Mus musculus: one gene and its partners. The protein of the gene in region 1 interacts with the protein of each later gene in a pairwise test. Links are inferred from orthologs where the notes say so. Each region holds a gene or a part of one and is shown on either strand. Other genes may lie near its edges.

What was found.
Region 2: the proteins of Disc1 (region 1) and Eef2 interact in a two-hybrid assay, tested with the Homo sapiens proteins (2 studies listed by BioGRID and IntAct). The link is inferred for Mus musculus from reciprocal best matches to the Homo sapiens genes DISC1 and EEF2.
Region 3: the proteins of Disc1 (region 1) and Trio interact in binary tests that used the Homo sapiens proteins (3 or more experiments, as listed by UniProt). The link is inferred for Mus musculus from reciprocal best matches to the Homo sapiens genes DISC1 and TRIO.
Region 4: the proteins of Disc1 (region 1) and Smc3 interact in a two-hybrid assay, tested with the Homo sapiens proteins (2 studies listed by BioGRID and IntAct). The link is inferred for Mus musculus from reciprocal best matches to the Homo sapiens genes DISC1 and SMC3.
Region 5: the proteins of Disc1 (region 1) and Pcnx4 interact in a two-hybrid assay, tested with the Homo sapiens proteins (2 studies listed by BioGRID and IntAct). The link is inferred for Mus musculus from reciprocal best matches to the Homo sapiens genes DISC1 and PCNX4.
Region 6: the proteins of Disc1 (region 1) and Gnptab interact in a two-hybrid assay, tested with the Homo sapiens proteins (2 studies listed by BioGRID and IntAct). The link is inferred for Mus musculus from reciprocal best matches to the Homo sapiens genes DISC1 and GNPTAB.
Region 7: the proteins of Disc1 (region 1) and Sparcl1 interact in a two-hybrid assay, tested with the Homo sapiens proteins (2 studies listed by BioGRID and IntAct). The link is inferred for Mus musculus from reciprocal best matches to the Homo sapiens genes DISC1 and SPARCL1.

Annotation. Positions count from the first base shown.
Region 1 is NC_000074.6:125,085,189-125,088,763, reverse strand, and holds part of Disc1 (disrupted in schizophrenia 1 homolog), read right to left. Parts: intron 1,311-3,575; coding exon 316-1,310; intron 1-315. UniProt on the Homo sapiens protein: Involved in the regulation of multiple aspects of embryonic and adult neurogenesis. Required for neural progenitor proliferation in the ventrical/subventrical zone during embryonic brain development and in the adult dentate gyrus of the hippocampus.
Region 2 is NC_000076.6:81,175,135-81,179,463, reverse strand, and holds the start of Eef2 (elongation factor 2), read right to left. Parts: upstream 2,834-4,329; 5' UTR 2,738-2,833; coding exon 2,735-2,737; intron 1,800-2,734; coding exon 1,585-1,799; intron 1,412-1,584; coding exon 1,230-1,411; intron 784-1,229; coding exon 572-783; intron 504-571; exon of another isoform or gene 451-503; intron 384-450; coding exon 205-383; intron 119-204; coding exon 13-118; intron 1-12. UniProt on the Homo sapiens protein: Catalyzes the GTP-dependent ribosomal translocation step during translation elongation.
Region 3 is NC_000081.6:28,022,992-28,027,273, forward strand, and holds the start of Trio (triple functional domain protein), read right to left. Parts: upstream 2,858-4,282; 5' UTR 2,506-2,857; coding exon 2,349-2,505; exon of another isoform or gene 1,374-2,348; coding exon of another isoform or gene 1,334-1,373; intron 1-1,333. UniProt on the Homo sapiens protein: Guanine nucleotide exchange factor (GEF) for RHOA and RAC1 GTPases. Involved in coordinating actin remodeling, which is necessary for cell migration and growth. Plays a key role in the regulation of neurite outgrowth and lamellipodia formation.
Region 4 is NC_000085.6:53,624,330-53,627,904, reverse strand, and holds part of Smc3 (structural maintenance of chromosomes protein 3), read right to left. Parts: intron 2,957-3,575; coding exon 2,743-2,956; intron 55-2,742; coding exon 1-54. UniProt on the Homo sapiens protein: Central component of cohesin, a complex required for chromosome cohesion during the cell cycle. The cohesin complex may form a large proteinaceous ring within which sister chromatids can be trapped.
Region 5 is NC_000078.6:72,535,102-72,539,195, reverse strand, and holds the start of Pcnx4 (pecanex-like protein 4), read right to left. Parts: upstream 2,840-4,094; 5' UTR 2,657-2,839; intron 1-2,656.
Region 6 is NC_000076.6:88,377,892-88,382,123, reverse strand, and holds the start of Gnptab (N-acetylglucosamine-1-phosphotransferase subunits alpha/beta), read right to left. Parts: upstream 2,857-4,232; 5' UTR 2,706-2,856; coding exon 2,589-2,705; intron 1-2,588. UniProt on the Homo sapiens protein: Catalyzes the formation of mannose 6-phosphate (M6P) markers on high mannose type oligosaccharides in the Golgi apparatus.
Region 7 is NC_000071.6:104,111,222-104,115,596, forward strand, and holds the start of Sparcl1 (SPARC-like protein 1 precursor), read right to left. Parts: upstream 2,868-4,375; 5' UTR 2,156-2,867; exon of another isoform or gene 1-2,155.

The DNA of each region.
Region 1 (3,575 bases):
AGCAAGTGTCTTTACCCACCGAGCCATCTTGCCAGGCCCCAGTGTCCTAAGTCGAACAAACCACACTGCAGGTCAAAGGTTGTGGAGAAGTATGGGCCCCATCAGAGAGGACATGCCAGCACCTAAGCCACACAGCCAGAAAGCGGAAAGCAGAGCATGCGCGTTCAGATGTGGAGGAGACAGATGTGCCGCCACATCTTTTCAGTCGTCCCAGGAGCCATTGCAGCTTCCGGGACCAGCACTCAGTCGGTGGCCCACTCCCCGCCTCCACCCAACACTGAGTTTGAGGTGACCCGATTCCAGAAGCACACACACCTCCAGCTGCCTGCGGTTGCTCAGTAGGTAGTCCTGCAGCATGGGCTCCCATTCCCTGAGCAATGTATGCCATCCATGGGCATCGGCCCAGCCGCCGCCCTGGTCGCCCCGCCCACCAGCGGAGGATGCATCCTGGGAAGAGAAGCCAGTGTCCGAGGAGGAGGAGGAGACCGTGCCACATTCTGATTGCCTGCTGCTGCTCCTTGTCACCTGAGCCAAGTCCGCCAAGCCTGGAGCAGCGTGAAGACTGAAGGTCCAGAGATGCCGAGGATCCCCGTGGGGCCTGTCTGAGCTAGATGCTTCAGCTGCCATCTCTTGGGGCCTCTGATGCAGAGGTTCGGCCTCTCTGGATGGCAGGCAACCTTCTGCTTCTCCGCGTTCTCCAGCAGCACCAAGGGAGAGTTGGATGAAGCTGAAGCTGGAAGTGAAGGTGTCTTGGAAGCCGGGAAGGGATGCGATATCAGCGGGGCCATTCAACGCCGGTGATGCCAGAGGTTTCACAGTCTTCAGGCCCCTTGATCCCTTGTTCCAGGGTGCATCAAGGCTAGGAGCCAGAGACTTAAAGCTGTCTGAAGATAATAATTCTTGCCAAAACCCACTGTCCCCAGGCTTAAATGACCCAGTCAGCCTCTCAGATTGTCTGCTGTCATTCTTGGAATGAACCGCAAAGTGCACTGGTCTTTTTCTCATAGAGCGCTGGGCTGGGTGCAGGTGGCCCTCAGAGGCCACAGCAGGGACAAGGGAGCTCTTGAGAAAAGGCTTGCCCACCAGTGAGGCTTGGCAGTGGCTCCCAGGGTCAAGTCCGCACTGTCCAGCCTTGGACTGTGAGTGTTGGGACTGCTGGCCTGTCAGCCCTGCTGAGCTCGGGTGTGGCATGCCCACTGCTGGAGAGAGGAACCCGATCCCAGAACCCGCTGTGCTTCTCATGTAGCCTGGTCTCCGTGTCAGCCGCCGCCTCTGAGGGGCTACTGCAGGCGGTAAGCCATGCCCACTGTCTGAGAAGAGAAGAGAAAACAGTGTATGTCATTGAATCAGCAGGAGCGGCACGGGGAGGACATGCTAGCCATGCAGGTCTCTGTGGGTACACCTATCCAAGACACAGCGTGAAAACTCATGGTGGGACACTCCCATGATGCCAGTCCTTGGGACAGGAAGGCTGAAAGGTCAGGAAAGCAAGGTCATCCTTACTACCAGAGGGAGTTCGAGCTAGCCTGAGCTACACAACACCCTGTCTTTAAAAACCAAAAGAAAGTTGGTGCCCCTCTGCAGATGCCCAGTCAGCCCAGCATCCCAGCCTTCTGCTGGCAGAGCAGCAGGCCCTACTGTATGTCTGTCTGACAGACTGTCAGTGTCCTGGGGACACAGCCTTGGTGGCTCCCCAGCGACTGTCCTAGTGCTGATGATACATAGTGTGTCCCTCCAGGAGAGGGCTTGCAAAGCAAGCCACCGGACACCAAAATATCAGCATGTGACTCTGTCAAGTATTCCAGTCACTATTGAATGACACTTGGATTTGCAGTAGCCAAGTATCCAGGTTCCCACGTTCCCAACGCATTCCCGAGCCCTCGGTGTCTGTGATGGTTTGTATATACTGGGCCTAGGGAATGACACTATTAGAAGGTGTGGCCTTGTTGAAGTAGGTGTGTCACTGTGGGTGTGGGCTTTAAGACCCTCATCCTAGCTGTTTGGAAGTCAGTCTTCTCCTAGCTGCCTTGAGATGAAGACGTAGAACTCTCAGCATTCTCCTGCACCGTGCCTGCCTGGACTCTGCCATGCTCCCACCTTGATGGTGATAGACTGAACCTCTAAACCTGTAAGCCTGCCCCATTTAAATGTTGTCCTTTTTAAGAGTTGCCTTGGTCATGGTGTCTGTTCACAGCAGTAAAACCCTCTCTAAGTCACTGGTTGTGACATAGAGGCCATTTGTCTCTTCATCTCACACAGTGGACCACAGGGGCTGAGTCCTCACCTAGCTACCCTGCAGAAATAGGAACAGTAAGAATCCTGTCACCTCACTGTCTGGTCCAAATATGACCATATCAACTGCTCATTGTGTAACCTTCTGCAGGCTGCTTGGCTTCTGTGTGCCTCGGTTCCCCCTCAGTTGAGGGGGTGGTTAGAAGGACCCCATATACAAGGTTCTTGTTAGCATCTGTATAAACAGTTTAGAATAGGACATGGAACATAAAAGTGTGGTGAACTATTAGCTACAGGCCTGGGAAGATGGCTCAGCACGTAAAGTATTTGCTGTGCAAGTCCGAGAACCTGAGTTTGACCACCACCCCCCCCCAGCCCAGGTTAAAGTGCTGGGTGTGGTGGTGCATGTTTGCAGTCCCCGTGCTGGGAGGCAGAGTCAGGGGGGTCCCTGAAGTTCGCTGACCATGGAGCCAAATTGATGAGCTTCATGGTCAGGGAAAGAGTCAGCCTCAAAAATTAAAGATGGAGAGGCTGGAAAGCTGGCTGAGGCCGAGGGTGCAATAGGTACCACATAACCTTGATTGTGCCAACTGGATTAGAAAAGCAGGCTTTCTCAGCCATGTGTCGGACCTACAGAATGCAAGCGCAGGCTTTCTAAGGCCGCCACCTTCAAGATGTAAATGGGCCTCTGCTCCACAAGAGCACTTGATGCTCCTGCAGAAGCGCCCAGGATGCAGTTCCCAGCACCCACATGACACTCACCAGCATATCTAACTCCATTTTCAGGGGATCCCATGCCCATACCTGTCTTGCCCTGGCACCAGTCATGTGGGCGGTACATAGGCATAAATGCAGAAAACACACCTATACACGTAAGGTAAATAGATATAAAATGCATTTTTAAAAATTAAAGATGAAGGGCTGGAGAGATGGCTCAGCGTTTAAGAGCACTAACTGCTCTTCCAGAGGACCTGAGTTCAATTCCCAGCAACCTCATGGTGGCTCACAACCATCTGTAATGGGGATCCAATGCCCTCTTCTGGTGTATCTGAAGACAGCAACAGTGTACTCACATACATTAAATAAATAAATATTTTTTAAAAAATATTAAAGATGAAGAAAGACATGCAGTGTTGACCTTTGATCTCTACATGGTGTGGACACAGAAAAATGCATTCCCATTGGCAAGGACATATGTCAAGCTCACAAAAATACCACGCCATAGACAAAGCTGAGCAGGGTGGTACACACCTGTAACCCTAGCTCGCAGGAGGTAGAGAAACAGGAGGATATCTAGGGTTCTCCATCTAGGCAGCCTAGTCTAATTGGCAAGTTCCAAGTCT
Region 2 (4,329 bases), on another chromosome or scaffold:
CAGCTTACCCACCTTGAAGATGGGGTCCAGGATGAGCTGGCAGAAGGTGCGGGGAAGTTTTTTCCCATCTGGGCTATTGGCTGACTTACTGAACTTGCCATTGGCCGGATCAAAGTACCTGTAGAGAGCAGTCACATAGTATCGGCAGGCAGGCATTGTCCACAAGTAGCAGGGGTAGAGACAGTCACACAGCCATGTACTCACCGGTCTCCCCACAGCTTCTTCATCATGTCCTCTACTTTCTTGGCACGCTCGGCTGCGCTCAGCTGGCCCTCACCCTTGGCTGCAAACTTGGCCACATACATCTCCGCAAACTGCTTCAGGGTGAAGGCCCAGCCATGCAGGCCAGAACCAAAGCCTACGGTGCCCAGGACGGGGTCAATCTGAGGGAGGAGAGCAGCAGTTAGCCCGGCAAGATGGTCAGCAGCCAGCCCAGCCACAAGCCCACAGTCTCAGACACTGAGTTTCTTCAACAGACATCAGGTCAAAGTGAAGAATTTCCGTCATCATGGTGGGTCAGAGATTCCCAGGGAGCGTGGCCCTGACCGCCCCCCATAGAAGAGCTTCGCACCATGATATTGCCCATGGGCCCACTCTCGCCCTCGCCGTAGGTAGAGATGATGACGTTGACGTTCTCCACGATGCGCTGGAAGGTCTGGTAGAGCTCCTCGGGCTCCAGCTGCAGCTCCAGCAGGGCCCGGTCCATCTTGTTCATCATCAGGACGGGCTTGATGCGTTCAGCGATGGCCTGGCGCAGCACAGTTTCTGTCTGCACACACACGCCTGAGGACAGGGTGAAAAGGACTAAGTGTTTACCCTTAACTCTCAAGTACTCTAAACCACTGACAGTTCAAGGCCTGAAGACCACGTATGTTTTGTCTGTGAAATGTACACAAGCACTCTCCAAGGTACACGGTATGGATGCCCAGGCGCTAAATCTCCAAGTGTGTCCAGTGTACCAGGCCCTATGCCACTCAGCCCCTCCCACCTCCAGAGACCCATGCACCTCTGCCTCAGAGCACTGAAATTATAGGAAACTGGCCCCACACTTAGGTGGACTTCACAATCTCCCTGCCCTGACATGGGGACTGGCACATACAATTTCAAATTAGAGCAGAATTCATCCTTGCCTTAAAATGAATATGATTTCAATTTACACCCCCAAAAATGTGGTACTGGGCCATGAAAACACCAGCAACTGTCTGTTACAGCTCCCACCCAAGGCTTACCAGACACACAGTCCACCACCACCAGAGCTCCATCGGTGACACGCAAGGCAGCTGTCACCTCTGAAGAGAAGTCCACATGGCCTGGAGAGTCGATGAGGTTGATGAGGAAGCCCGAGCCATCCTTGCTCTGCTTAATGAAGTTCAGGTCGTTCTCAGAGAGCTCGTAGAAGAGGGAGATGGCGCTACGGAGAGGAAGAGGTCAACAGTCCATTCAGCATCTGACCAAGGCAGGCTAGGCAGCACACACAAGCATGTCACAGAGAGGACCCTAAACACGCCACTATTTGTCCACTGGCAGCAAACACACCCGAGTGACACCCAGAGCACAACCCCTCGGGGCTGTCCCCTCACTCACGTGGATTTGATTGTGATGCAGCGCTCCTGCTCATCCTTGCGAGTGTCAGTGAAGCGCGTCTCCCCAGCTCGGGCAGAGGCAATGATGCCAGCCTTGCACACAAGGGAGTCGGTCAGCGTGGACTTGCCGTGGTCCACATGGGCGATGACTGACATGTTCCGGATGTTGGCTTTCTTGTCCATGATGGCACGGATCTGATCTACTGTGAAGTTCACCTGTGGTGGGGGGATGGGCAGCCAGGCTGATTCTGGGAACCCAACTTGGCAGGCATCGGTGGGTCAATAGCACCCCACAGCAGGGGCAGGAACCAGATGTCGGCCCAAGATTGGAGCTGAGCTCACAGTGTGACTCAAACGTACAACCCAGGACCTCTGAAATAAGCATCAAAAGTTCACAGATGTGTCCACAGCTCTAAACAAACGCCGAAACCGACAACTGCGACACTTAAGAGCAAGCCTGTGCTAGAAGACCCTATCTTGAGGCTCAAGTCACATAACCTCAGCACAAGAATTCAAAGCCAAGGTGCACGGCCACCTCGGCACTGCAAAGATGCCGGATTGATTGGGACCAAAGCACGAAAAAACCTCCTCTGCTACACACACCTCTTCCCCAAACCACTGGGTGCTGTGCGCCAAGGTCAAAGCCCGGATCAAAGGCCACAATGCGCCACTAGGCCCAGTGAGCCACTTTCTTAGATTATGGGGACCGGTGCTCACGTGTGAACTCAGATAGAAAACAGAGACGGGGGCTACCGGAAAGGGCCCGGAAGGCGTTCAGCCCACTGGAGGTGTCCAAGGAAGCCAGCCCTACAGGCTGTCACCTCCCGAGGACACCCTCCGCCCGTCACCAGGGGCGCGGGGACGGCGCTTTGCCCGCTGCCACATCACCAAGCACAACCCCTCCCGCAGTCACCCCGGCGGCCGCGGGGAGTTGAAGGACTTCAAGAAAACACCCCGACCTCGGCAGTTGACACTCCCAAGGCCCTCAGGGACGCGCAGATATGGCGCCGCGGCCCGACCACGTCCTGCCGCCCGGGCCAGGGCAGCCATGTCTCTTCCTCCCGTCCCTCTCAGCGTCCCGCTACAGCCACGTCCCGCTGCCCCAGAGATTCGTCTCGGTCCCCGAGTCTAGCGGAGCCGAGGAGACTCACCATGGTGGCGGATGGCGACGGATTCTCAGAGTCAGAGGTGAACAGGGAAGCGCGCCGACGATGGCGGCGGCTGCGGCGGAAGAGACCGCTGACGTCAACGCCCGGCCTTTTATAGGTCGACGCCGGTTGGGTGCGTCACGTGACGGCGCCGGGTGCTCGTCCGGCCGGGTTGGCTAGGAGCCAGCTGTGGACGGGTCTGCGCATGCACAGAGCGCGGTCTTTGGGACTTAACACTTGAACTGCCGTGGGAGTGGCTGCGGCGCGGCCGGGGCGTGGCTAGCTCAGTCTCTGGACCCTGGGCCAAGATCCACGGATGGGTTTTTAAACATAGATTCCTCAGAACACAGTTGCTTACAACATGATTCTTGAAAACCTTGTAGGTCAATAGGAAAAAGACTTTGAAATTCGGACCGGTCAGTGGGTTGTGCCAAAGTTCAATTTCCTGGGTTTGAGACTGTTATGTAATTTGACACCTCTGGGAAAAGCTGGAGAAAGGGACCCTTGAGGCCACAGATTTATTTCTGCAAAACCTTGCTTGTATTTTTATTACACTTTTTCGTTTGTTTGTTTTGGAAACAAGGTCTTTGGATGCAGCCCAGGACCGCACCAAATCATGAAGATCTGCCTTAATCTACTGCGTCAGTGCTCGGACTAAAAGACTGTGCCAACACACCACGCTCTCATGAAACTTTTTTTGTCCGGAGACAGGATCTCGATAGAACAGGCTGGCCCTCAACTGGGTTGGCTGTAGAGGTTGTCCTTGAATTCCTGATCCTCCTGCGGGCAAAAATGCAACAATTATGATAAAACCAAAACAAAAGGCAGACAGTAGTGGTGCACGCCTTTAATCCCAGCATTTAGAAGGCAAAGACAGGAGATCTTTGTTCAAGGCTAACCTGGTCTACAGAGTGAGTTCCATGACAGACAAGGCTAAATCAAGAAACCCTATCTTAAAAACAAACAAAAAGGCGGGGCGTTGGTGGTGCATGCCTTTAATCCCAGCAGAGACAGAGGCAGGCCAATTTCTGAGTTCGAGGCCAGGCTGGTCTACAGAGTGAGTTCCAGGACAGCCAGGGCTACACAGAGAAACCCTGTCTCAAAAAAAAAAAAAAAAAAAAAAAAAAAAAAAAAAAAAACGAAACAAAACAAAAAAACAACAAAAAAGATAGATAGATCAGCACGTGGAGCTAGGCGGGTGGCAGCCAGCTGTCATTCCAGGACTTGGCAGATGGAGGCAGGGTCTGATCTCTGCAGGGAGATCAGGAATTCAAGGCCATCCTTCCTTAACTTACACAGTGAATTCTAATGACATCCTGGGCTACAGGAGACCTTGTTTCAAAAACAAAACATTGCCAAACCTGTCCTTTCTTGGATTTTGTCACTTGTCTCCTAAATTTTTGCACATTTAGACAAGGTTTCATTCAGTAGCCCATAACTCGTAGCCTTGGCTCCAGCCACTATCTGAACAAAGCAAAGAGAAAGTGTGTTTTTCAAGAGAGCCCTCGATGCTGACAGTGCCGCGTGTGTCCAGCAGGAGGCATCGCAGGACCGTGAGCATGGCTGTCCCCGCCTGACCCTGGGTGCGCAGCCTTCTG
Region 3 (4,282 bases), on another chromosome or scaffold:
TCAGTCTATGGCTACAAAAATAAAGCTTAATAAAGAAGCAAGAAAGGGATAAACAGAAGAGGGGACCAAATAACTACAGCTACAGGACTGAGAAGGAAAAGGTAAGCAATAGAACGTGCCCTGAGGACCAGGCTCAGGGACCTTGGAGAAGGTGCCTTGCCTCCCAGTCAACAGGGACGGATTTTCCCTGTCTGCACATCCTGAAGACAGAAGAGATGGATCTGACAACTCCTCCTTATTCACAGTCAATCAAATCTTTCCAGGAGGGCTCCTACCTGAACTGATCTCTTTCCAGGAGGTCTCCAACCAAGGCCACCCTTAAAACCATGATGTCTATGCTTCAAACTGACCAGCCCCTAGGTATCCTCTGCTAGACACACCAGCCTACATGCCAACCACTGAGATCTGGGGCAAGGATTCAGAGTGGAGGGTGAAATGAAATTCTAAAGGGGGATGGGACAACTCTGAAACCAACTGAAAATCTGCGCTGGCTCCTTCAAGTCACTTTGGAGGTGGAATAAAGGAAACAAGGCAGTAAGCGGCTTTACCTGATCAGGAACTCTAAAACGAACGAGCTACCCAGGACTACGAACAGTAAGAGCAGAGCCCAGAGTGAAGAGAGGCAATCAAGACCAGCATGTCTTTGGAGAATCTTGGAAACAAGTCATTCCTGAACTGTGCATTAAGCCATAAGGGGAAAAAAAAAATCCACCTCTAGGACGCAAGAACATTGGGAAGATGAATTCTGCACAAAACCATTTAGTCTGTGACAGGTGATGGAAAAAAAGAAAGAATGGTGGCTTTGGGCCATGCCTCCAGCCAGTCACACACTAAAAAATAAATAATACATTGTTAAAAACCGTTAAAGCTTTCATTTGAAGGAGTTCATGTCTTTCTAAACCTCAGCTTTCTACAAGGCCCTCACCGGAGAGGGAGAGCTGGAAAGAGCACACTAAACCCAAGTTGACACAGTCGAGACGGAACGTGTCACTTCTCTTCATAACCAATCGGTTAAGACGAATCAAAAATAACCCTGCCAGACAAAGATCAAGAAGACAGAACTAAACCAGGTGTCTAACGGCCCAGAAGTTATCTGCCTCGCCCAAGGCTGGTCGCTTCAATTGCTAGCTCCTAATGACCTGGACTGCGGCCCTGATCTCTTCCAGTTTGGGACCTGACTTTGAAAGAGGCCACTGAGACCCTGAGCTGTCAGCCTCCCGCGCTCACCCCGGTGCAGGCCGCTCACCAGACCCCGAGGCTCTCCGTCCTCCCGGAGGCGGGCAAACAGCCTCCCCGCGCCCTCCCTGGCCCGCCCGTCCGTCCGGATCCTGACCTGGGCCGCCCTCTCTGGCTCTCCAGCGCGGAGTCTGCATCCTCACTCCCAAGCCTGGCCGGCCAGGGACTGCTCTCCGAACTGCAGGCCCCCGGCCGCCGCTGCCCTCCGCCGCCTCCCGGACGCGCAAGCAAACCGGACTGCACGCAGGGACGCGCGGACGCGAGCCGGGCTCGCGCGGGATCTGGGCCGGGCCGGGCTTGGAGGAGGCGCCGTTACCGGGGTCCCCGGGACGCCCCGTCACGCCCCCTGCGCAGCACACCAGCGCCCCTCCCGCCCGCCGGGCTCCGGGCTAGCCTCCTCCTCGGCCACCTCCGGCTCGCCAGAGCGGACCCTAAACTGCCCCTCACTGCCTCCAGGTCCACGCCACCCACGCAGTGCCCGCCAGCCCTGGTCCCACGCCTCTCCCAAGGGCCACCACGGTCCCAGATGTCCTTCCCGGGCCTCCCCCAGAAACAATGGCTCGACCCGACCGCCGCCTCAGCTCGGCCACCGTCCTCGGTTCCTGGGCTGAGGTGCGATGGCTGCCCCGTTTCACAGAACCGTACACCAAGGCTGGATGACAGGCTAGAGCCCCGAGTCGGGACACTCGCTGATAATGGGGTTGGTGGTCCAGCTACCAGCGGCCCAAAAGCTATTACAGGGCAGAGCTGCTGTCCCCGGTCCCGGTGAGCTCGTCCTCCGGGACACCGGCCTCCGCCCACGCCGTCCCCGCCGCCGCCTCCTCGGCCCTCCAGCAAGAGACAAAGAGCCGGCGCCCCTACCCGCGGGGCCGTGGCCGCTGAAACGGGAGGCCGAGGGGTGTCTAGCCTGGCACGAGGGGCGAGCGCCGGGAAAGCGAGTGAAGGCGCCCGGGACGAGCCGCAGCACAAGGGCGGCGTGGGTAACCTGACACGCCGGCGTGGATCGCAGAGCCCCGATGCGGCGACAGGGACGAGAGCGCGCAGGGCTATACCGGGCCGGAGATCCGGGCGCGCCGGGCCGGCCGAGCGCGCGGGGCAACCGCGGTACTCACCGGATCGGAAGAAGGCCGCGATGTCGGCTAGGTCCTTGGCGGCCTCCTCGGCGCCCTCGCCGGCGCCGCCCCCGCAGCCGGAGCCCGCCGCGCTGGCCGCTGCCGCGGGGCCGGAGGACGCGGCCGGGGCGGTGGCACCGCCGCTGCTGCCGCTCATGGCTTCGGCGGCGGACGAGCCCGCCTCGGGCCCCGCGCCCCTAGCTCCGCGCACCCAGCCGCCTGCGCCTGGCCTGGCGGCGCCGAGCACCCAGCTGCCCGCGCCCGGCGCGCGGACGCACAGCCCCGGGGCGGCGGGCGGCGGCGGCTCGGCCCGAGGAGCGCGCCCACATAGACGAGGACACCGCCCGGGAGCCGCGAGCCTGGCGCGGAGCGGGCGCGCGGAGCCACGGCCTCGGCGTGGCCGGCCGGGGCACGGGCAGCGGCGCGGACACGCGAGGGCGGGGGCCGGGGCTGCGAAGCTCCGCGATCACGAACGCCGGCGGCAGCAGCGAGCCTCCATCTTGCTTTCCGACGGGGAAGGAAGGAGGGGGAGGGAGAAATCACGGCCGAGGGAGCCCGGGTGAAAGGAAAGGGAGAGCAGGGAAAGGAGAGGAAGGAAAAAGAGGGGCTTCGGGAATTTCCGGAGAGCTTCGTTAGCGGCCGGAGCGTGGGCTCGGCTGGTGGGCGGGGCCTTTTGTGGGCGGGTCCTGGAGGGGCGGAGCCGCGCCTGGGAGCCCGGAGGGCGAAATGGAGTGGCTGAGAGAGAACGTGGAGCGGGCCAGGTCTCCTCCTCCAGGGCTGCTCCAAACCTGGGAGGAGCAGGAACAAGTGTGACCGAGCCACACTGGCCTTCCAGGACGGGCACTGCGCCCCCTGCCAGGACTCTCGCGCCTGCACTGCAAGCGGTCCTAGCGCTGGAGCGTTTTCATTATTATTTATGTCACCCGCGGGGCCGAGCGACCAGGATATGGAGCTGGTGTGGCCTTCGCAGGCACAGCGCTGTCACTGGCATGTAGAAGGGGCGGGATAATTGTTGAATGAGCAGAGAGGCAGTGAAAACAGATTATCTGCTCTAGTCTACCGTCTCCTTGTATGTAAAAAGCAGGCGCGAGAGAGGGGGTGCTTGCGGGGAATCCCCATCTCCCAAGTGTGCTGGGTCCTCAGGCTACCCAGATGTAGTGGGAAGATGATGGAGGCAGGGGAGACCAGAGGAAAGGGACTTTTAAAGAAAATGTACGTTAAATCAGATGTGTGGAATATCAAATTCTGCTTTATGTCACGGCTGCAAGATGAGTGCAGTGAAGGAATGGGCGCCGGGTAATTGAGAATCACATGCAGGAGAAAACAGATCAACAAATTCCATCAAACTACACCCCGCACCTATGTTTAACGGGAGAACGATGATTAAGTGACCACCAGATCTTTTCCCCTTGGCAGTCTCAGACAAGCAAGGGAAAAGGGCTAGAAGGCTTGGTTTCGGTCAGGATGAAGTTTGAAGACACCCATAGGAATTTGTGTTCACCTTGCAATAGGTGTGTGTAAAGATCTACAGCTGTGTGCTTATATTTTGGACCGCATGATAGTACATATGCCTGTATTTTCTTGCTCTGTCAATTAATTGGCCCTGGAAACACCTAGCGTTTTGATGACTGTCTCTCTGCCTCTCATGTGTGCCTGCACGCACTATCGACATTTGTGTTTTGGGTCTGTGTTTATATGAATACAAGAGGTAGGTACCCAGTGTCTAACTCAGTCATCCACTTCTCACCTTAGTTTTTTTGGAGCAGAGTCTCTCACTGAATCTGGAGTTCCTTGGTTAGTTAGACAGTTGACTAGCAATACATAAAGATCCTCCCATCTCTGCCTCCCTAGTGCCCAAGCTGCAGTAAAAAGCTGGAATACCGAGGAACTGAATTCAGGTTCCCATGCTTGCAGAGTAAGTATTTTACCACAGA
Region 4 (3,575 bases), on another chromosome or scaffold:
TCTGTCCAGTTCTTCAACTCGAGCTTTGACTTCATTGAGATCCTGATCCAATTTCTATGGGAAAAAAATTTTCAAAAGATGTTTTAGGCACATTCAAAGGTGAAATTTAACACATATGTAATTTATAATAAATGAAAAAAAGTTAAGTCTGTGGAAATGGCCTAGACTAAAGCAGATTAGAGAAAGACAACAAGTAAATAAAATATAAAATTCTGGATCTAATATTGAATCCCATTTTCATCCAACTTTAAGAAATATATTTACACAAACCTGGAAACCCTAACCACTATTTATACACAAAAGAAACAATCTGAGCGTGACATCAAAAATATTAGCACAGAGCTCTTTCTATAAGCAGTGAGAGGCCAACTATGAAAATGGTTCACTGTTTTCTTATCCATAAAGCCCTATAAAGTCATGTATATCTGAAAACTCGAATCCTTGTGCTCATTTTAAGAACACACTTGAGACTGCCTAGGCCAGCAGGAATATGCATGTGGGGAAAGCCTCCACATATCAGGAAGATGTCACTTTAAAGAAGCAATCAATGTGTGGCACTTTTGGCAGATATCAATGATACCATTTCGTATGCCCAGGCCTAACAACGGGGTTGAACCTGGGTTGTAGCCCAAAGTGTTGAAGTTTTGTTGCACATGCTTAAAACTGCAGAGAGGAACACTGAAAACTTAAGATTCTCTGCTCACTAAACATATGCAGGTGAACAGAGCACCTGAGATGCGCTGTCTTAACTTACAGAGCTCATGGTTCAATTAATGCACACAAGTTCCCACCACACTGACATGATCCTAAATAAAACAAACTGCCCCTAAGTCAGAAATGGAGGTATACAGAAGAAAACATCCCAGAAGAACTAGAGAAGCAACATTATGGCTCAGAGATAAATGCAACATAAACCAAAACAAAACAAAAAGAGAGATAAGCATATTTGTGGTAAGTTAAAAAACACCAAATGCATGTGTTTATGTATCCACACACATGTATTTTAAGATTCTATGGTTTCTCATGTTTTGAAACCAACGACCACTCAGAGCAGACCTCACAGTTTAGGCGCAGGCATTTCCTTTCCTGGACACATGTCCCAGACTCTCCTCATCCACCCTACAACCTTCCACTCACACTCGCACACACATGCAGAGAGATGCAGGTTCTTTCTTAAGCTGAACTAAAACTTCCCTCCTCTACTTCAAGTTTTAAGAAAATTTTAGCTAAATATGTAAACGATGTTTAACTCATTTAGAAAGAACTAAAAAAAAAATCACTATTATTTTAACTAACAAAAATATTTTGCAGTGAATTATAAAGCTGATAGAATAGCTAGCTGTGCAGTTAGTGCTTGCTGCTCTCACAGGGGACCCACATCGAATGGCTCGTGTCTGCCTGCTCCACAGGATCAGGCCGACACACTAAACACCAATGCACATAAAATAAAAACAAATCATTTAAAAATAAATAAAATAAAATACGCTCAATCTACGCAAACATCACGAGCATGGACTAACTATCCTTAGGAAACTTTTAAAAAGAGCGGCCACTGAGATGGCTTAGTAGGTAAATCTCAAGACCCAACCGAATCAATCCCCAGGACCCTCACAGTGGAAGATGAGAATCTCCATACCTGTGCTAATGGAAGCACACGGACACAGCACACAGCACACAAGACAACAAACACTGTGTACTGCTGGGTTTGTGTGTCAACTTGACACAGGCTGGAGTTATCACAGAGAAAGAAACCTCCCTTGGAGAAATGCCTCCAGGAGATCCAGCTGTAAGACATTTTCTCAATTAGTGCTCAAGTCGGGGAGGGCCCATTGTGGGTGGTGCCATCCCTGGGCTGGTAGTTTGGTTCTATAAGAAAGAAAGCTGAGCAAGCCAGGGGAAGCAAGCCAGTAAGGAACATCCATCCCTCCATGGCCTCTGCATCAGCTCCTGCTTCCTGACCTGCTTGAGTTCCAGTCCTGACTCCCTTTGGTGATGAACAGCAGTATGGAAGTGTAAGCTGAATAAACCCTTTCCTCCCCAACTTGCTTCTTGGTCTGATGTTTTGTGCAGGAATACAAACCCTGAGTAAGACACACTGTGTGTACTAACAGTGGCAGCCTTTCTAACTGAGCGGCTTCTTTGTTCATTTTAAGAACAGCATGGTGGAGGGAGCTGGGGAGATGGCACAATGGGACTTGTTTCCATGCCTGATTATCTCAGATCAACCATTTGAAGGAGAGATCTGAGTCCTACAAGCTGTCCTCTGACCTATACACATACAAACTAAGGGAGAAAAAAAAAAAGCGGGGCATGGTGGCACACGCCTTTAATCCCAGCACTTGGGAGGCAGAGGCAGGCAAATTTCTGAGTTTGAGGCCAGCCTGGTCTATACAGTAAGTTCCAGGACAGCCAGGGCTACATAGAGAAACCCTGTCTTGAAAAAAAACAAAACAAAAACAGATTTTTAAGTATGCAAGCTTACTTAAAAACAACACAAAGCAGATAAAATGCATATGTTTATCTTACTAAAAATTTTTTTTCACAAAACATACTAAAGTTCTTATTCTTATGGTCAGTAATGGCGCACACCTGTTTCTAACATTTAGGAGACTGAAGCAAGATTGCTTTGAGTTTAGGGATGGCCTGGGCTACACAGTGAATTACAGAAACAGCCTGAACAACAGAGTAAGATATTGTCTCAAACAAACCAAACCAAAAAATATAAAGCAAAATTTTTCTTACATTATATTGCTCCAGATTTTTCTCTTTATTTGCCTCGGTATCCTCCAAATCCTTGTGAATAGCAGCAATCTGTCTTTTCTTATCATTAATTGCCTGATCTAAAGACTTCAGTTCCTTTTTAATCCATTTATCCCTTTCTTCTTTTGACGTAAACTGGCTTCCTCGACCCTGCTTTGCATAAAGATCAGTTCTTTCCTGTGTAGCTTGAGCCAACCTACGAAATACAAACCAAATACAAGAAATAAAAATTGTAATTATCAACCCTATAGAAACTTTCCTTTTAAAAATTACATTGCGTGGGGACTATAGGTTATTGAGATGGCTCAGGACCCATATGGTAGAAGGAAAACAAACTCTTCAGGGTTATCCTCTCACCTCCACACATGACGAGCACAGTGAAATAAACAGGGGGAGGGGTTAAACATAACTAAACATAACTGCTAACTGCTAAAGCTACTGCACCACCTGCTTTTACTCTACTAACACCAAAGGAACTTTAACATCATAACTACAAGCAGAATAATCCCTTTACTAAGGATTTTAGACAGACCCAAGATCTCAATGATCACTAAATTCTAGACAATGCTACTGCCCTACCTCAGGAGCTTTCAGAAATACTCGAAGTATAGTTAACTAATACATGAACTTTCAACTATACAATAAAACACTAAAAGTTAATATAAAGTGTTTTAGACATATAAAATGTAAGTATTCTGATTACACAAAAACCAATTTAAACCTCCTCCTGATCACACGCACACAATAAAAAGGGATGGCGCTTGGGCACAACGGTTCATGCCTTCAACCCAGCACTTAGGAGGCAGAGGCAGATA
Region 5 (4,094 bases), on another chromosome or scaffold:
TGTTTCCTAACAATTCATAAGTGATCAATAGGGTAAAAAGTATATAATAAGCTGTTAACTTCTGATTGTCATTCTAGACCATAAAAATTTTAAAAATACTTAAGAATTTAGAGTATTTTTTGAGGTACTACAATTACATTTATGTGGAGAAGTATTGTGAATGCTAGCCTGGATTATCTGTAGAATATGACCATAAGAAGTAAACTCATTCCCTGAGTAACATGTTGGCATGTGCTTCTGAGGGCGGTCAGCACCTGGAAGGACAGACCATATCTGTCATGGCTTCCTCCAGCATGTTCAAATGCACACTCAATCCTGAGGAAACAAGAGCTGCGCTAATGACGGCAGCACAGCACTGACTCGGGCCATACACTCTCTACATACGCACTGAGAGGGAGCCAGCCAAACAGACTCTGAGACGCTGCTGCATTTGGAATCTGAGTCATGAAATTCCCACAGGGTAAGAAGCAGTTCAAACTTGCAATCTGCCGTGGCGGAATTCTTAGTTACCCACACAACAACTCATGGATCATATGCTGCGGACTAAAATCCCTTGAAAAAAGAAAGATACAACAAAAAGTAGTAGCTTGAAAGCACGCACAGCACATGAGTGTGCACACATTCCTCTAAGGCCAGAAGAAACAAATTCCTAGGCAGCTTTTTAGTTTAGGTTTATTCTTTAATGCATCATATCATTATTCTATGAATACAAGATACAGAACTCTGACTCTGTAGACCAGGCTAGCCTCAAATTCACAGATCCACCTGACTCTGCTTCCTGAGTGCTGGGATTAAAGGCAGGAACCACCAGGCAAATTCTGAGGATTCTTGAATAGAGGACTTGAAAGGAATATAAAAAGTTATAAAAGGTAAAACCTGATACCCAAGCTGGCCTGAGGACACTGGCACCTAACACTCTTGAACGAGAGCGGTTAAGAGCCCAGGCCATCAGGGAAGTGAAGCTATTTGCAGAATGGCAAAAGGCTGCAATTAGAGATCTGCATCTCAGCTATATTAATTAATTAACTAGCTAATTAATTAATTCTCCCAATTCAATGATGAAAATACAACCTGGTTTTAAAAAGATAAACTAAGGATAAGAATTGACAGTTTCTGGGTGATAGACCATGCTGGAAATGAAGCTTGCCATGAGGAAATGCAAGCCAAACCTACCATGAGATAGTGTGAATTTCTCTGATTGGCTAAAATAAAAATGAAAGCCTAGAACAAGTGTTGATGAGGTTAATGTAAAACCTTCAAATACATCTAGTGGGGATGTACAGTGAGTGGTGCTATGCTTTGGGAAAAAAAAAAATCTGTCAGTTTCTCAAAGAGCCAAACAAGGGAATTAGCCTCTGACATACCTATTCCATTACCAGGTATTATATCCATGAAAACATGCCTACATAAAAATTTATACAAAATGTCCACGGCATTATTAGTACTGGCAAACTCTTTTTGCCAATGGCTAATGGCTAAATAATACAGGGCATATCTGCCTAATATACTAATAAACAATAATGAATAATACAAGCTGCAACATAAAATTCGCTAGATGCACGCACACAGATCACATGTTTTAAGGTTGTGTTTATATCGAGTATCTGAAATAATTTTGTTGAGACTAAAGATTAGTGATTGCCTACAACTAATAGCAGGAATATTGGGGAGGAGAGAGAAAAAGCAGCTAAATAGAAAAGATTTCTTTTGGAGGTAATCAAATTGCTCCGAAACCAACTTGTAGAGATGATTGTGCAAACCTGTTGAGATGCTCAAAACCAGTAAGCTGTATACTTCCAGAAAATGAATTGTATGTACCTCAGGAAAGCTCTCACAGAGGAGGATGCAAAGGTCCCCTGCCCGGGATTTTCCACAGCAGTTAATAACCAATAGGCATTTCCTAAAGGTAGGAAAGGCATAACCTGTAGCTAGCCTGGGATCCAGGCAGTTAAATCACTAAAATGGCAATATCTGTACTGGATGCTGTGAGAAATTATGGGTGATTGGGTGTGAATGGAAGCAGATATAAAATAATATGAATGCTCTCTCTCTAAACTCAGGGATTTAATGAAAAAAAAATAGAACCATAGTGGAAAAAATGAATAAGGGGAACATGAGAATAAGAGAGCATACAATTCAGAGGTCTAATAAATAACGAATGGGATTCATTTTTAAAAATTCTGGTCTTTGACACGCAAAGGATTATATAGAGACAGAGAAACCTGAGAAACGCGCTATACATATCCAGGAGGCCAAGAATGAACAAATTTTGGTCAGGAGGGCTTGAGACAGAGATAAACCAAGAAAGAGTGATCTTACCTAAGGGGCATAGGCCATGAACTTGATTAGAGTAACATGGCCATCCCTCAGCAGGGCCAAAGGGCCATTCTCCATTTCACAGAGGCCTCTCAGAAATAAAACGTAACTCCACGGGCTGCAAAAGTATTCTCAGTCACATTAAAGCCAAACTGGATCACTACCTCGATCAACTCAATTTGCTCAGTACATTAAAAAGAGCAATAATTGCATTTAAAAGCTGTTTCATGGAGAGCGAAAGATGTTTCTTGAGGTATTAAAAGGTGAAGGAACCCAGTAGTACCCAGGGGTGGAAACTAAGGCAGCAACGAAGTCTCAGGTGTGTTGGGGACGGACATACCTGGAGTCACCGCAGGGGAGAGGCGACGCGAGGGCGTCCTGGGACCACATCTCCCCAGCTGAAGTCGGTTGGGAACTCCTGCCCGAGGATGGATGCGGGCCCCGCCAGCAGCTGACCGGAGGCCTCCAGGACCGCTCCCGTTCCCATGGCTAAGATCAACTGCGCTCGTGCCTCCCAGGGGTCAGTGCGCACGCGCGCTCGGAGGCGGGGCTGTGCGTCTCGTCCCGCCCCCTGCCGCCTGGTTCTGCCGGAGGCGGATTCATGTGTGCGGCACAGCAGCGCAGGGTAGGCGGGGTTTCCTCCGCGCAGGGCCGGGCGGGCTAGTGTTGTGGGAGACGCCCAGACTTCTTCCGCACTGGTGCTCTGGTTCTTGAGCGGCCTAAGCACCACCTCTGAACTCTCACCCGGGCCACGCCCAGACGAAGGAACGTGGTTGCCTTGGTGACGAGTCCATCGTTTGGCAACCTCGAGGCTGGAGAGCTGGATGACTTGACTGTCTCTTGGGGAGCCTAGGCTTTCCAAGATTGGCAGACCCGTGACTCAGAAGTGCAATAAAAGTCCAATCCCCCAGGGTTCGGATACCTCCATTAATGACTACAGAACTAAGGCCATTCAAACAGCCTCAGGGATGGGAATGTTTTTAAATGGTAACATGTGCCTGTTATATTTATATTTTTGCTCTTAGTATTATAGTACTTTGGGCACATTATAAACTATATCCATGTAAAATAATGAACCTGTCTGTGGCAGCGAGCCAGGGCCCAGGGACACAGGTTGTAGATAGTCACCCTAGCAACTGGATTTTTTTTTTTTCAAGAGATCTCCATTCAAGTGAAGTTGGGATTCTTGAATTTGCCACAGGAAAAAAATTCCAGGGCGAGCCTGTATGAAGCAGAGTTGGAGTCTACAAGTGATTTTTTTTTTTTTTTTTTTTTTTTTGGTTTTTCGAGACAGGGTTTCTCTGTGTAGCCCTGGCTATCCTGGAACTCACTCTGTAGACCAGGTTGACCTCGAACTCAGAAATCCGCCTGCCTCTGCCTCCCGCGTGCTGGGATTAAAGGCGTGTGCCACCACGCCGGGCTACAAGTGATTTTAATATAAAATAGAGGGACTGATAGATGTGCTCAATGACAGCGTAAGACACATCAAAGTGTGGGGACTTCCACTTTGCATGTTACGTATACAGTGTTGGTGATGTCTGAGGTTATGTAGGAAGCTCTGCTAAGGAAGTTGAGTGATATCAGAAGGTTCCTGAATTTGGATCGGATTACAACTGATAAAGTAAAAACAGTGTTTTGAAAAATATGTTTATAGTCTTGTTTGGAGAGTCCCAAATACTTTCAGGTTTACAAATACTTAAGAAAGGTGTGAGGTCATAAATACTTAGGCCTTAAGCATGGCTCGCAGGTATTTTTCCATTCTTATTTGAAATGATTCT
Region 6 (4,232 bases), on another chromosome or scaffold:
ATTCCTGGGAACCACAAGGTGCAGAGAAAGAACCAACAGCACAAAGTGTCACATGTGCACCCACATGTGTGCACATAACATGCATATACGGAAGAAAAGCCTTAAGGGGGGATTATTGGGGGCTGGAGAGATGGCTCAGTGGTTAGGGCTAGAGAGATGGCTCAGTGGTTAGGGGCACTGGCTGCTCTTCCAGAGGTCCTGGGTTAGGCCCCATGTGGCTGCTCACAACTGTCTGTAACTCCAGTCCCAGGGGATCTGACATCCTTACACATATACACACATACAGGCAAAACACTGATCCGCATGTTATATATAAGAGGTGTTACTAAGACGTTGGCATCAAAGCCAAGTTGTCTTAAGCTTGAAGCGCATGTCTGCTGTGAATTAGCCATGTTAATTTATGCAAACACCTCAGCTGCATAACCTGTGAGGCAGGTAAAATAATACTGTCCAGATGCGAGGGCTGGGTGAAGACTAAATTAGTGTATGAAGCAGTTAGAGAACACCTAGTAAGGACTATGCTTGCTATTATCATGGTTAGCATTAACTGGAGCCATTGGTCACATCCAGATTAGCTCTCCCTAGCCCCTCCCCCATCACAGGCCAGCTACCCCCACCTCTCCTGCTACCCGGTGACACTCTTAACTCTTATTTCTCTCATTTCAGCTAAACTTTTTGATCTGTGTCTATGAGCCAGGCCTCATGGCATACACCTTGAATCCCAGCACTCCAGAGGCAGAAGCAGGAGGATCTGAGTGCAAGGCCAGCCTGGTCTATATAGGAAGTTCAAGCCCAGCCTGGGCGACGTGGTAAGACCCTGTCTCAAACTCTTCAAGGCTGTAACAAATGCATTTCACGCCATGGTCAGTAAACAGCCCACTTAAAATGAACCAGGTTAAAACCATAAACCAACAACCCTAGCACTCAGAAGGGCTGATAACGGAAGACTGTGAACTTCAGGCTAGCCTGGGCAACTTAGTAAGGCTCTTTCTCAGAAATGAAAGCCATTCAAAAGCAGTCAGACACTAACTATGCGAAAACATATCAAGTTACAACACATGAAACGTAGACGGACCAGGAGGTGGTGGAAAACTAAAACACTCCACAATTGGAAGTGGGCGACAGTCTCATTCTCACCTGTAAAATTACTTTTTTCTAGTCCCTACAACCACTAAAAACACACTTAGAACCCGGCCATATCGCTCAGCCAATCACTAAGCAGACGCTTAGTATGCACACACTGGCACTGCCTGGCACTGGGCTTGGGCTAGGGTTACAGCATTTAAAGTGACACCAGTTTCTCCACCGAGCTTACAGTCCGGTGTAGGTGCTGAGCGCACACATACGTATTGTGCCGTTTTATAAGAGCATTCTGTTAATTATAAAACCCTTTTAACCTCTTACTAAAATATAAGCAAATAAATAAAACAGGGAGACCATTCCAAACTCTTTGAAAGCGCATGTTTTCTTCCTGTCTCCAGGGGCAGTGTTCTGTTGAATGGCACACTTGTGCCCATTCATTTCTGACCTGCTCATACCCCTTTGCACACTTAAGATGGCGAAGACTGTACTAGACTACCCAAGAATCAAATAACTGAAATTTAAACTGAAGAGTAATGGCAGTCCCCAGAACGTTCAAGGTATGTCTCCAAAGGAGCATAAAATTCATTTAACCTGGCTGCTCACACCTCCCAAACCGGTTGTCTGTGCTCTTTGAAGAGTTTACAGTCTAATCAAACTGCTTCACTGCACATCAATTAAACGCAGTTCTCAGTCCAAGAAGGACCAGCGACTTGATCTAAAAAGTATTAGCATAGCCCATGACGCAAGGGTGGGTCTGTGCTGGCTCTCAAGAGGTCCGGGGCTGGAGTCCAAGATCCGCAGGCAGTCCTAGTCACCTGACAAGGGCCCTACTCTGAGATAAGCACTTGGTGCTTCCCATCAGCGTGTGCATTCTCACTAGTAAGGCCTCCAACCCGCTGGCATGCAGCTGTACAAAACAGCAGAGCCATTATGAAAAAGGAAAAAAGTTAATTTAAAAAAATCTCCCTTTCACTCTGCAAAATTCACATGCAAAACGGCGCAAAATTCACATGCAAAACGGCGCAAAATTCACATGCAAAGCCGCGCATGCCTCTAAGACAAAGTCTGCGATCCAGAAGAAACAGAAGATAAGGTGTTTTGTCAACGGTGAAGGACTAGTAGGGTGGCACCGCAGGACTGGATCCTACGGAGAGCCAGGGAATGAAGGATCACTACAGAAAAATACAAACCCTAGGAGAGAGTTTCACCAGCGCAAGGCCTTAGAGCCAAAATCAAATGGCCAGAGGACTCTTGGGGACACCCTGCAGAAGGAAGGGGATCCATGCGCACGCTGAAGCACGCGAGGCCCGGACGTCCAGTCCAGCTGCTGCAGGCGAGCCGGGGAGAGGATGCACGCTCAGCGCCTGGGACTAGTGGGCCGTGTGCTGGTCCCCAGGCTGCAGGGAAGATGGGGAGGCAGAAGGGAGATTCGGGGTGCCGGCACCGCGGGGCTCAATCGGGGAATGCTGCGCACGCGGCTCCGGGGCTCGGGCTCCGCTACTCACCTCTCCGAACTGGAAAGCCGAGACGATGGTGACAACGACGCCCACGAAGCAGACGTAGAGCCCATACCTGTGGGATAGGCAGGTATAGGTCTGTCTCTGCAGGAGCTTAAGCAGCATCACCCCGGCCCCGCCACCCCACGCCAGGAGGAGCCCGCGCCGCGCCACCGCCTCAGCGAGCCGCCATTCAGGGGCCCCCGGACGCGCCGCCGCGCTTAGCTCACAGCCCCCGGCTGCCGCACATTGTCGCTCCGGCGACCGACGGCCCGCTGGGCTCCACGCCGCGGCCGCCGCTTCCGGGAGCCCGGAGCCCACGCCCTCGGCGCGGCGGAGGCGGACCCAGGGCCCGCAAGGCGCCCGGCGCCACCCGGGGTTGGCCTCGGAGAGGCGGCGGCGAGTCGCCAGCGCCACCTAGAGGGCGGAGGGGCAAGGGCAGGCGCGCGCCCTCCCATCTGCGCGTGCGCCGTGGGCCCTGCCCTTTGGGCCCTCTGCCTTCTGCACGGTGGGACCCACCCAACCAACAGGTAAGCGACCCGGGCTGTCCCCTGCAGTGTGCCAATGGGCAATCCTGATGAACCAAAAAAACACAGCTCCTGCCTCAAGTTTATCTTCGAAAGAAAATTTGAAAGATCGTGGCTAGGGAATGCATATTCGGCTTGTCCCAAATGACATAATCTACTCTAGACGTTCGTACACGAGGTTTAATTGGTTTTGGAAAAACAAAAGTCACTAATCGGGCATTTATCAAAAAAAATTTTTTGAGGTCACAGGTAGGCTGATTGTGGCAAAGCAGGGAAAACTAACGGATTTAGTTACTATCTGAAGCCTTAGCTTTTGATAGGTAATCAATCTGCTTATAAGTTTGTGTATGCAGGGGAACTCGCACGCGTGCGCGTGTGTGTGAGTGCGTGTGCGTGTGCGTGTGTGTGTGTGTGTGTGTGTGTGTGTGTGTGTGTGAGTGTATGGTGAGGGTCACTTGTTTCTGTCCTTCCATGCTGCGGGTTCAAGGAACTGAAGTCAGGCTTGGCATCACCTTAACCTGCTGAGCCATTTCAGAAACCCTTTCAAATACAACTGGGTAGTATAGCTATTGAATTGGCATTGTTAATTATAAAAAATTTTAAAAAGGAACTGGAGTGTTATAGAGAACTAACTAAGTTTTCGGGTCAAATTCACTTGGAGAATTGTTTGGGCCTACCTGGGTCTTTTTGTGTGGGGGTGGGGTGGGAGTGGGGAATTACCCTCATTACACGGCATACTCTCAAATGCAGTGTCTACCACAGTGCATACCTGTTGAGCACTTGGGACGTTGAGGCAAGAAGGTTATGAGTTCAAAGCCAACCTGGTCTTGGTAGTGAGACCTTGTCAATAAACAAAAGAAAATTAAAATGAAACCCCTCACTTTCCTACTTTGTTTCATTCGTCTAGTCCTCAACTTATCCTCTTTCTTCTGAAGCTTTCGTTGGTTTTGTTGGTTGGTTTGGGAATTATTAGGTTTTGTTTTGCTTGGTGGGGGGAGGGTGGGAAGGGGAGGGGACAGGAGTGGGGGAAGCTGGGACAGAACGGTGTGGAGGATTTTGAAACAGTGTCTCAAGAAGCCCCGGCTGGGTTCTAACTCCCAATGTAGCCAGGCAAGCCTTGAACTCT
Region 7 (4,375 bases), on another chromosome or scaffold:
TGTGTGTGTGTGTGTGTGTGTGTGTGTGTGTTGGGGTTGGTACTCAGGTGTATCTATCAGACTTGGCAGCCTTATCTGTCCACTCTCTATGCTGTCTTGGAGACTTCAGTCTGCTTTCTGAAGATTGTTAGAGCAGAGCATACAAGTACAAGGGGGAGCCTAGCGTCCACACCCTTTTCAGAGTTTAAGTAGTGAAATATAGCCAGACCAATACTTTCATATTTGCTATCATCAATATATACGAGGCATACATCCATTTTCCAGCTCATTCTCCCATTCAATCTCTGCAGTATCTATTGATTTTATGATTCTGATTCATGGTTACAACAAAGGGTTCTTATGACAAAGTCATTTGCGCAGAGTCCCTGGGCTATTTCTTGTGACACTTCGCATGCAGATAAACCATGCCTATGTAGTCTAACAGAAGTCAGAGCTGTATGGTCATCATGTATGAACCAGGGCCCTTTTCATCTTTCTCATGTTAATTGCATTGGCTGTCTTTGAGGCAGTCACTTTTGTGCAGAGTTCTGTAAATCCTTTGATGTTCATGACAAAGAGACAGGCTGTGGCTAGGTGGTGGTCCTATCACCCCGGGAGCCTCTGCAGAAGGCATCCTGGGAGACCCGTAAGAGCTTCTCCTGGATTTATGGCTTTTTTTTTCTTTTTTTTTTCACCCACTAAAGATTGTTCCGTGGTGATAAGAAAGTCCAACACACCTCAAGCCTTTTGACAAGTTGTTTGTGTTATCCAACATGTTTTGGACATTGAGCTCAACTTAACCAAAGCAACCACGTCCATGTCTGGCTGCAAGTCAGCTGAGAAAGAACAGGAGTCAAGAGAGAATGTAAGGGACATTCTCGAGTTCCCCAGATGCTCCACCGCGCACCTCATCTGTCGCCACTATTTATTGTTTTACTGTGGGCCTGTGCCATAACAGCCTGCTGGCAAGACACTGAAGGGCAAGGAAACCACCCCAGAGTTCTAACTGCTCAATGGCTCTTTGGAAAAAAGTGGGGGTGGGGGCACGATCTTCAAACAACGCACACATTCTTTCCCCAGATGTGGGAAGTCGTGTCCGGTGATTGACAAGCAGAGGAAACAGACTGCTCTACCTGATTGGACTTCACTTAGACGATCCAAACTTTAAATCTTTCCTAAGAATGGGGTGGGGGGTGTCTTTAAGAAAAACAAAGGAAACCAGTCAGAAACAAAGATTTAGTGGAGCGAGCTGTAAACTGAAAACAAAACCCTGGGATCTAAGAGAAAGGAGAGGGTAAAATTTTTTTCTCCCCACTGCGGGTACATTTCTATTCTGTGTGGCTGGAGTCTGCCCCAGAGGAGTCTGCAATGTCAAGGTGGCACATTTAACCTCTTTGCAGACAAAAAGCACTGCAGATGAGACTATACTGCAGGACTTCTCTCGGGTACTTTTTCAACTGTATTGATTGGCAGCTGCAAGCAGGGTTATAGTTTTCTACTGCAGGGTGATCTTGTTCCTGAAGGAATGAGCGAGAAAGGCTCGCAGGAAGTGCTGTATTGGGGAAGGTGCAGATGGGAGGACCTTCTCAAAGACAGCACAGTTGTTAGCCCTGACTTCTCCTTTAGCATTGTGTTTTTCTAGAGAGGATGTAATGAGGAACCGGGCATATTCCCTGTCCCCTTGTCACCTCTTAACAAATGATAGGTAGCAGGAGGAGAGAGATCTGTGAAAACTGTGAGGGAAAGGATAATATGAAAGTAACCGAAGAAGAATGTACTGTTAGAGATATTTCCTAACTGAAAAACAAACAAACAAACAAACAAAGCATTCTACTTCTACACAGCTGTCAGGCCCATGACAGTGACAGATACAGTTAGGTAATTTAAACATGGCAAACACACATTTTTTAAAATTTTGAAATCTATACTTCTGGTTTGGCCATTACGAAAACTATGGTTTATTAGTGCTCGACATTTAATTTTGTAGGAGGAAAAGAGACATGGCCACACAAAGTAAAATTCTCCTTTTTCCTTCATATAAATCACTCCAAATGGGATTATAAAAATAAACACATGGCTTTGAATTATTTAAGCAGAATCATCAAGCAGTCTTTTTAGATCAGGGAAGTCAGTTTAACGCATGCAGTTGGGCAATATAAGCAAATTTAACATTTACCTGCGGAGAGGTGGCTGGATCCAGAGCCTTGGTAGCTTGAAGCCGAAGTTGAGTCCCCTCCTTGCACACAGCCAGGAGGTAAAAGTTTGACAAATGCCCAAGAGGAGCTAGCTCTTCCACCCCCCTCCCTCGTCAGCTTGGCTGCTTTGCCTAGAAGCACATTCACGTTTATTGGAGTTGAAATTCTGCTGCTCTGTCAGCCAGTCAGGGTCTGAAGTGACAGATGAGAATTTGGAGGTTGGCACCACAGGGTGTTTCAGGCTGTCATGGTTTCTGTTGCAGATTCCTGGATCTCGCTCCCTCCGTGCTGCTGAGCTTTGCAGCAGAGCAGACCCAGAGGGAGAGAGCTAATTCTGCAGCATGCATGGAGTGAACGGCCCTCCCCTAGCCTCTCCTCCTCATAGGCTCCTAACTTGGCCAGAGTGTAAGCATTTGGCTCTTCATGCAATTTTTTTTTTTCAAACAACTCTGAGAGATCGTATGATTGGGATCCCTTGGGGCTTGTGACTCTGAGACACTGCAGAGAGGCTTCACACTCTTGTTTATTCCTAGGGCGACTGCAAAGCCAGGGTGAAAGGACAGAAGGATCACTGCAGCAGATGCGTTTTTATATTGCTCGATTGGAAGCTGTCCTCATGACCGCAGTCTGAACGTTAACAGAGAACCGTTCCGGCTGCTTTAACCGTCCTACTCGTAAGCAGCTCTGGAAAATGAAGTTGCTGCTCTTTAGAGCATGCTGATTTAGAGAAGCTGTGATTCATAGCCTGCTCTTGCCCAGCCCAGTCAGTCATCCTCTGTAAGCCTATGATGGCACCGGGCTGTACAAGAAGAGGTCTTCCTGTGTGCTTATTTCTGACTTTGCACTGTGGCATTCATCTATCAAGGCATGTAAATATTTATTTATTTATTTATTTATTTATTTATTTATTTACCTGGCCCCGAGCTAATCTGGAACCCACAGAGATCCGTCTGCCTCTGCCTCCTGGGTACTAAGTTTAGAGGAGCAGCAGTAGGCCTGGCTCTGCTTCTGTATATGTATGTGTGTAATCATTTCAATGGTTGTGTCTGTATTTATTGCACATTTATCGTGTGTCGGACCCTGCGCTAACAGCTTTCAATGCATCGTGTTCGTGGAGTCTGACAAGTCTTTGGAGGTTTTACTACGTTCCCATTTTAAAGATAGTACAGAGTAATGTTAACTGTACAGGATTTAAGGACAGGCAGCTTGGATTTTCTTCTTGACTTTCCCACACCCTAACTGTACACCCAGGAGCTAGTAATAACCTCTCTCAGCATCTGCTTTCTTATTTATAAAATGAGGCTACAGATATAGGAGGAGTGATTATAAGGTCTATCACAGGCAATTGTTCTGAGTTTCAATAATTTGATGCAAACCAACTGCATAAAACTCCTGCCATGTAGTAGACACTCAACAAATGTTAACTATTTTGGTTTATGTCAGACGACAGCAACGTTCGCTTTCTCCCGGGTCTCTAACTGTAATAGCAAGGTGGTACTCTCCTTGCCTCCCGCCTGTGTTAGCCAACTGAGCAGGCATTTCGCTGAGGAAGAGATACTGCCCCCCCACCCCCTTCTCCAGGTGACTAGCCCAAATGCTTCTGATACTATACACTCTCCACTAACACTGGATGAGAAGTTGTTATTTAACGTAATTTAGGCTCTCTGAGTGTGTGACAAAGTCAACAGGCAACCAGACTGATAAAAGCAAAAGCCAAGTGAAGCAAATAAAAACCCTGAGCTATACAAGTTTGCAGACGTGCCTCAGCCGGTTCGCTCTACGGACCCCAGAACATTCGTCGCACTGATTTTCAGAATGAGAAAGGTAACAGAACTTATCTCTGTCGTGCAGCAGGGAAGTCTGGGAGCAGAGGAAGCCGGGCAGTGAGCCAGAGCCCTTCCAGCTGGGAAGGGCGCACGTGTCTGGGATCAGGATTATAGAAAGGGCCGAGGATGTGACGTCTTGAAGCCTCAGACAATGGGATGTTTTTTCCTCAGCTCAGGTTTGGAGTGTGAGCAGCTCCTCTGAGGAAGGGACAAGGGTTTGTTTCTTCCAGGGCCTCTGCACACATCTGCACGCTTCTCTCTGGTCTTAGCAGCATAGAGGATGCTGGCGCCATTCTGCGATGGTGTCCCGAGGGATCATGGAGCAGCGAGACCAGCCAGGCCATATAGAAAATGATTTGACTTTTTTGGTTAAAG